2 linked regions of the Rattus norvegicus genome follow. The main gene of each other region encodes a partner of the protein of the gene in region 2 in a complex. Links are inferred from orthologs where the notes say so. Each region holds a gene or a part of one and is shown on either strand. Other genes may lie near its edges.

Region 1 (3,652 bases), on a different chromosome or scaffold from region 2:
CTGGCCTCTCAGGAGAGGAAAAGGGTTCTGACCCTTCGGTGACTGCAAGTCTGAACTCCACAACATTGTACGCAGCCCCCATAGAGAGCAGCATAGGGGGAGGTCACTGGAGCACCTCACTTCTGGTATGAAAGGCCTCCCTGTCCTCCAAACACCAACCACCTGCCGAGCTCCCATCCTGGCTACCAGAGGCCAGCCCATCGTGGCTGTTGCATGGCGACCTCTGCACTCACCTCACCCTGGTCACTGTGAGTGGAGACAAGCATGGTGTGGCCCTGGGGACTCGGGGTAGGACCTTTCCACCTCCCAGGTCAGATCCACCCTTCCCACCCTGCCTCGCTGTTGACATGCAGGCAGCTCTGGGCAGCACAGCAGTCATGGCAGTTGGTCTGTCTAAGGCACTGCTTCTCAATCTGAGTATTTTGACCTGGTTGGGGATTGAATGACCCTTTCACAGGAGTCGCACATCAGATATCCTATATATCAGATATTTACATTATGGTCCATAACAGTAGCAAAATCACAGCTATGAAGAAGTAACAAAATTAATTTTATGATAGGAAGTCGCCACCACAGGAGGAACTGTACTAAGGGGTCTCAGCGTTAGGAAGGTTGGGAACCACTGGGCTGTTGGACTTTTGGGTCAGTGAATGTACTTCTCTAACTGTGGCATCCACAGGACCCCAGTCATGCCCCACACTGACCTCATACACAAGCCATAGAGTGACATGAAGCTGCTCTCTGGGGTTTCCCAGGATCCCTCAAGCTCCCTCCCATCCCCAGAAACAGCCAATGGGCAAGTCAATGCCTGGCTTAAGCAACTGCAGCCCTGTTGCTTGGAGAAACAGACTACAGCCTCCCGTCAGGTGCCCAAGCCAACATGCGTAGGCCAATCAGCTCAAGTGTCCCCAGTGTCCCCAGTGTCCCCCACACAGCATACTTACAGTACCCACACCTGGTCCCGCCTTCAAAGATGAATCCATTTGGCACAGCCCCATAACGCCGGAGATCAGACAACTTCCACTGCCCCGTGACAGTTGGAGGGATGTCTCTGGCCAGGACCAGGATGTCATTGCAGAGATGAAGAGTGGCTGGACCACTCTCCAGTTTGGTGCCAGGAGCTACCGTCACATGGAACCGATGCACTGAGGACCAGACAGCGGAGAAAAGGGCATTACCGGGGTGAATGAGCTGGGAGGAGATGATCAGGCAGGGGCCATGCTCTCACGGCCACTCAACCAAGAATGAAGGACATATGCCGGGAAGTACTAAGCTGTCAGAGGGCCCCACTTATATCCCACCCATATTCCAGGATCTTCCCTAGCCAGAAACAAGCAAGTTCTCTGAGGAGACTGCCCAGCTCTGAGGACACTCCTTGTGGCCCCTTTCCATCAAGGCAGCCAATGTGCTCCCATTTCAGAGATGGGAAAGCAAAGTTCAGGAGTGGAGTATGTTTCATCCTGTGTATAGACTAGGAGGCAATGATTGGCAGGTCTGTCTGGGACTAGCATGGCTCAGAGGCAGCTAGATGCCATAGTTATATCTACAGTCAGTGCAGCCCTTTGCCTGAAAGCCCTTAGGGAGCACAGCCAGAATTCCAGCCTCCCTTTCCCCCCATCTCTTAGAGCACCCCACTTCATAGGTCTCTCCCTGTGAACCACAGCAGCCTCTCCCTGTAGTACCCACGTGCCAGCCTCCTGCCCACTTCATATCCAGACCCCAGAGCCAGAGGACCCTAGCAATGACGTCACCTTGTCCTCTTTCAGCTGTGGCCTTGGGTTTGTCCTGCAAGCCCACCCTTCTACAGGGGTCTGTCCAACCACATCAGCTTTCTCTTAACATCTACAGAGGGACCTGGGAAGCCCACCACATTGTTGGGAGGACCCCTGTCCTGCCTGAATGGGGGTGGGGGGTGCAACCACGCTATGAACCAGCGCCAGAGAACTCTCTAGAAAGATGAGAGCTTCTAGCAAATATTGCCTGCCCTGTACCTTCACTGCACTGTCCACACCACGACTCTAGGCTAAATAAAGGTCCACCAGGCTCTGCTGTTCTTGGATGGATGAAAGCAAAGCTTCCTCCTCCACTGCCTAAATCTCAGCATGGGTAGGCAGCGGGCAATGTGTTCATTTATCACCATCACCATCACCACCATCACCATAATTATCACTACTGTTGACACATCATTGTATCATCACTGTGAGGGGGAGGGGGAGGGGAGGGGGAAGGGGGGAGACATGTGGGAATGCAGATGCACACATGCCACTGTGTGCCTGTAGAGATCAGGGGACAATTTTCTGAAGTTGGTTCTCTCCTTTTACCCTGAGGCCCTGCAGGTCAATCCCATGGCTCCCATGGGTCCCTCAGCATGGGCTCTGGGATAGTACAGAACAGGTGCCACCCAAAGGGTGGGGTTAGGGAGTGCCCTTACTTAAATGGCTTGGGCCAGCTTGGTTAGCTAAGGGATCCAGTTTTGACAGGGTCTTTTAGGGACTTCAAAGAGCCTCTGCACCGAGTTCATGCCTAGCCCTGGCCTGAGTACCCATGAGGGCCTGCCTGGCTTTTACTCTGAGACATCTACCCGTGTGCATCATTTCTACAAGATTCCCTGGGTCCTTACTCATCTCTGCAGCCCACAGTGGTGACGGACCCTGGGGCCTCACCTCAAACCCCACCCTTGCGGCACTCACCCTCGCCCAATGCATAGCGGATACGAGTGTCCCAGGCACACATGGCCTCGTGGCTGTCAAAGCCCAGCATGATGGCCTGAGACAGGCAGATGATAGCCAGGGTGTGGGCCAGGCCCTCATAGGGCAGGGCAGGCTCCAGGCCACAGATGTCCTCCAGGGTGAGGCTGCTGCGCTCCCGCAGGCCCTTTGAACGTTCACACCTGTCCTTGTAGACCAGCATCAGCAGGCAGTCTGTTCAGACAGGCAAGAGGTCATCAGGACGCTGCCCATCCTGCTCACTGCCCTTATCACTGTTCCTAAAAGGCCTCATCACTGCCTTCTAGGGCTGAACAAATGACTTACCCACCCCACAGGACAAGAACGAGCCTTGGGCGTGTGGAGCTTACCGGGTGCCCATTCCATCAGGTCACTGGGCCCACACATAGCCCCATGCTTCTGGCCTTTTGCCCAGCCTGTGTAGTGTGATGTTCGAGTCTAATCTGGCTATAGCAGAGAGGACTGAGTCTTCACTCACTCCCAGGCCCTCCAGAGAAAAGGTATCTGGGAATTTCACCCAAAGCACATTTCTCATCTGCCTTGGAGTTGTAAACACTGCCACAGCACTACACCCCAGGGGTGCCGCTAGGGAAGCTAGGTAGGCTAGCACAAGCTATGCTCACACCTCCTGGCCCTCCAGACACCGTCAGCCTTAGTCAGAAGGACCCCGAGAGTCAGGCCTTCACACCTGCAGCACTTGGACCTCAGGGCCTACCTGTTGGGGAGGAGGTAGGACTCATGCACCCAATCAAACACCTAAACACTTTTCATTCAGGGCAACCCCAAATAGCGGGTGGTGCTAAACCAAGGGAAGACTGGAGAAAGCCCCACAAGGACCTCAGCGCAAAGCCAGACCGTCCTGCAAACAGCATCAGCAAACCTACACAAGGACCCAAATCCCAGCCATGACTCCCAAAGCCTCTGTG
Region 2 (3,652 bases):
GCAAATGTTCAGTAAGGATTGTCACCACTGTCCCAATAAACAAGTGACAACGTAGCCCACATGGGAATGTACTGAGCACTGCAGTAACAGACCGTTCTTAAAGCTAAGTTTTTTCCGTGGGAGCAATTGTTCTGTTCTCTCGTCTGTTATCCGCTGGGATGAATGCTTTCCTTGGATTATACCAGTTTATGTGCAGGAAATATGTGAGCTGACTGCAGTTAGAACAATCATATTTATGTATAACATAAACAACAAAAATGCCCAAATTCACTCTGTTGACCATTTCCAAAGCTTGCCACAGCCTTTGCCACAGCCTGAGGTGTCTAGAGATGACCGGGTTGGTGCCAGAAATGGAGAGAATATTCATAAGAAACATTTCGATACATTTGTCAGGACAGTCTCTCTATTTCTGTGATGTGTGTGTGTGTGTGTGTCTTTGTGTGTGTGTGTCTTTGTGTGTGTGTGTGTATGTCTGTGTGTGTGTGTGTGTGTGTGTGTGTGTGTGTGTGTGTGTGTAATGGATGCCAAGAAATTGCTGACGATTGGCTTTGCCCTTCATCACCTCTTTCAGCAAATCACAGAAAGAAAGCAAAGGCTACTGTGCCCAGTACAGAGGGGAGGTGTGTGATGCCGTCCTGGTGAAAGACTCTCTTGTCTTCTTCAACACCTCCTATCCCGACCCTGAGGAGGCCCAAGAGCTGCTGATCCACACTGCGTGGAATGAACTCAAGGCTGTGAGCCCACTCTGCCGACCAGCTGCCGAGGCTCTGCTGTGTAATCACCTCTTCCAGGAGTGCAGCTCTGGAGTGCTACCTACTCCTATGCCCATTTGCAGGTAAAACTTTGAAAATGAGCCAGTAAAAAAATGCGTTTTTTGCCTCACTGTATGCCAACAGTTTGCCAAAGAAGGAATTGCCATGAGCGGAAAGTCAGACAAATTTTGCCATTTGCCCAAAAGAAATAATTAAAGCATGAAATCCCTCCCATTATAACCACTGAGGGCAATCTATGATACAAATGCTCTGAACTTACAGAAAATCTTAGAGTCTGGGTCAGTCAGAAAGTTGTCTTGTATACCGCAAACAAGCTCTGTGACTTACGTGTGCATATGTATGCACACACAAGTAAAACTCACTCCTTTATAAGGACATAGGACCCCTGTCATACCCCTCCCTGTGTGTATGTGTGTGCATGTGCACATGTGTATGTGCATGTAATGTATTTTAGTGTGTATGTGAGTGAATACGTGTGTGTTCGTGTGTGTGTGTGTGTGTGTGTGTGTGTGTGTGTGTGTGTGTGTCAGTACTTGGCTAAACCCAAGCCCTTTAGTACTTTAATTATTTTCCCTTTTAAGTTATCGTCCTTTTATTATTAGGCCTACCAATCTTAACTTGGAATTACCCAGGTTTCTCTTGATGTAGTTTGTCCTAGAACACTCGAATAGACATTAACGTCCAGATTTTAGTTAGCCCATTCAGTCTTTCTTCAGCTGCTCCACTCATTACACAACATCTCCAAACCTAAGGGCTACACTGAGGGCGGGGCTCTGCTTCTCCAGGGCAGGGCTGGCTAAGGAACCCAAAGCGCCCCTGTCAGCTGTTACAGGAGATGGTGCCGTTTTTCAGGGACCAACGCAGGCAGAACCTCTAAGTGTAGCCTGCTCCTTTCTCCAGCTCTGCCCATCAGCCCAGAGGTGATGGCTTCTCTTCCTTAGTTCGTATGTTCTTTAAATTGTCAACTTGGTTTCTGTATCTTTTTTTTTTCCCCCGGAGCTGGGGACTGAACCCAGGGCCTTGTGTTTGCTAGGCAAGCGCTCTACCACTGAGCTAAATCCCCAACCCCGGTTTCTGTATCTTTATTTTTAAGGTTTACTTATTTATTCTATTTTATGTGTTTAAATGTTTTTCTCTATGCATGTATGTGCACCATTTAGGTGCCTTTTGCACCCCCCTGGAGCTAGTTACAGGTGATTGCAAGCCACCACATGGGTGCTGGGAATTAAACCTGATCTTCTGCAAGGGTAGCAAACAAGTGCTTTTACTCTGAGCTATCTCTCCAGCACCTGCTCCTTTGTTTTTAATATGAACTTTGAGAGAAGATCTACCAGGACTCTTATCTAATTCATTCTAAATTTGAAAAAAAAAACACTAAACAAGATAGTATTTAATTTCACAGCGTAATACACCATGTCTTTAATGTTTTGCATTATTTAAGGTATAGTCATTTCAAAAATGCTTTTATAAGGGAAACACTACAATGTGACGATGTTTCAAAAATACAAAATTTAAGCCCCACTGCAAGTTTGGCTTCAACTCGTCATGATTCATCAAGTCTTGCTCGCCTTACATTCTAGAGAGTACTGCTTGGCAGTAAAGGAGCTCTTCTGTGCAAAGGAATGGCTGGCAATGGAAGGGAAGACCCACCGCGGACTCTACAGATCCGGGATGCATTTCCTCCCGGTCCCGGAGTGCAGCAAGCTTCCCAGCATGCACCAGGACCCCACAGCCTGCACAAGACTGCCGTATTTAGGTAACAAAGAATTTCCTCCAGACTTTGGAAGTTAAGGAAATTTTTTTTTCTTACTGTTTTCAGCCACGTTAAGGTATATACTTAAAGCTCCTAACATTTTTAGACTTTCTAGGCTGTTCTAATAATATTTTTTGCTTTGCCATTTCTACACACAAAATAGCAGAATCATAATGCTCTCCTAATTGCATAGGTTATCATAAAAACTCATTTCACTTGTTTTCAAATAAATTAAAGGGCACTTTTAACTGCTGCTTGGATCTTGCTTTATTTCTTACTGGATCTTACAAGTGTATCGTTTTCTGGAATGTATGCAAAAACGGCTAGGAAACATCTTACAGTTTGTCAGGGGAATGGCGTAACGGAATAAATAATCCTCTTCCTTAGCCAACGATGCAGATTTTTTAAGCATGCAGAAATAAGCCACATGTTTGAAAATGCTGACCTCATCAAATACAACTGAGCCACTGCATGACGACTGGTTTAATTTCAAAGATGCACTCTTCACATTTGAACGCTCGTCTGTCATTCATTTAAATGCTGAGCGGGAAAGCCGTGTTTCTTAGCTATAGCTCACAGGGTCTAGGAGGTATGTATCTTAACACTTACTTAAAATCGATTTTTATCCTTTCCCCCTCAGATTATAAAAAAGAAAACATAACAAGTAAGTAATTTTGTTTGTGCCTCTGAAATCTGTGTCTGTAAGTGGATTCGTGCATGTATATTTATACTACGCTTCTCTAAATCCAGAACACAGTGTACTGGGCGAGCATCATTAGCGCCTGCGCACAAGTGTCGGACTGAGCTCATCCACTCCCTTAGCTTCTGGCTTCTAAGTAGAACATGGAGAATGTGTGACACTTAGTGAGGGGAACAAATACTATCTTCTATCTCAAGATGGCTGGCCTGTTTTATACTTCATATGTTTGCAAACTCAGTCCAGTTTAAATGTAGCCTTCTGATTCTGCAGTCACAATTTTGTATTATGTAATTATTTCTGGATGGAAACAAATACTATTTTTTTCTCTATTGAGGTGATTCGTGATCTTTATTTGTGACAAGTATATCTGTTTTGAAAAAAAGGTGTAGTTTTTTTCCTTTTTCTTTTTTCTCTCATCTTCTGTCA

The links. Proteins that work in one complex are often made in the same cells at the same time.
Region 1: the proteins of Musk (region 2) and Dok7 are in contact, whole or in part, in a crystal structure (PDB 3ML4), measured with the Mus musculus proteins. The link is inferred for Rattus norvegicus from reciprocal best matches to the Homo sapiens genes MUSK and DOK7. Residues at the interface, in NP_035074.2 of Mus musculus: Leu547, His548, Pro549, Asn550, Pro551, Met552, Tyr553, Gln554, Arg555; in NP_001335203.1 of Mus musculus: Leu154, Ser155, Asp156, Leu157, Arg158, Arg159, Tyr160, Gly161, Gly172, Thr173, Arg174, Ser193, Asp197, Val200, Arg201.

The regions. Positions count from the first base shown.
Region 1 is NC_086032.1:79,913,971-79,917,622, forward strand, and holds part of Dok7 (protein Dok-7), read right to left. Parts: intron 2,922-3,652; coding exon 2,691-2,921; intron 1,146-2,690; coding exon 945-1,145; intron 1-944. UniProt on the Homo sapiens protein: Probable muscle-intrinsic activator of MUSK that plays an essential role in neuromuscular synaptogenesis. Acts in aneural activation of MUSK and subsequent acetylcholine receptor (AchR) clustering in myotubes. Induces autophosphorylation of MUSK.
Region 2 is NC_086023.1:77,940,721-77,944,372, forward strand, and holds part of Musk (muscle, skeletal receptor tyrosine protein kinase precursor), read left to right. Parts: intron 1-571; coding exon 572-835; intron 836-2,353; coding exon 2,354-2,529; intron 2,530-3,166; coding exon 3,167-3,190; intron 3,191-3,652.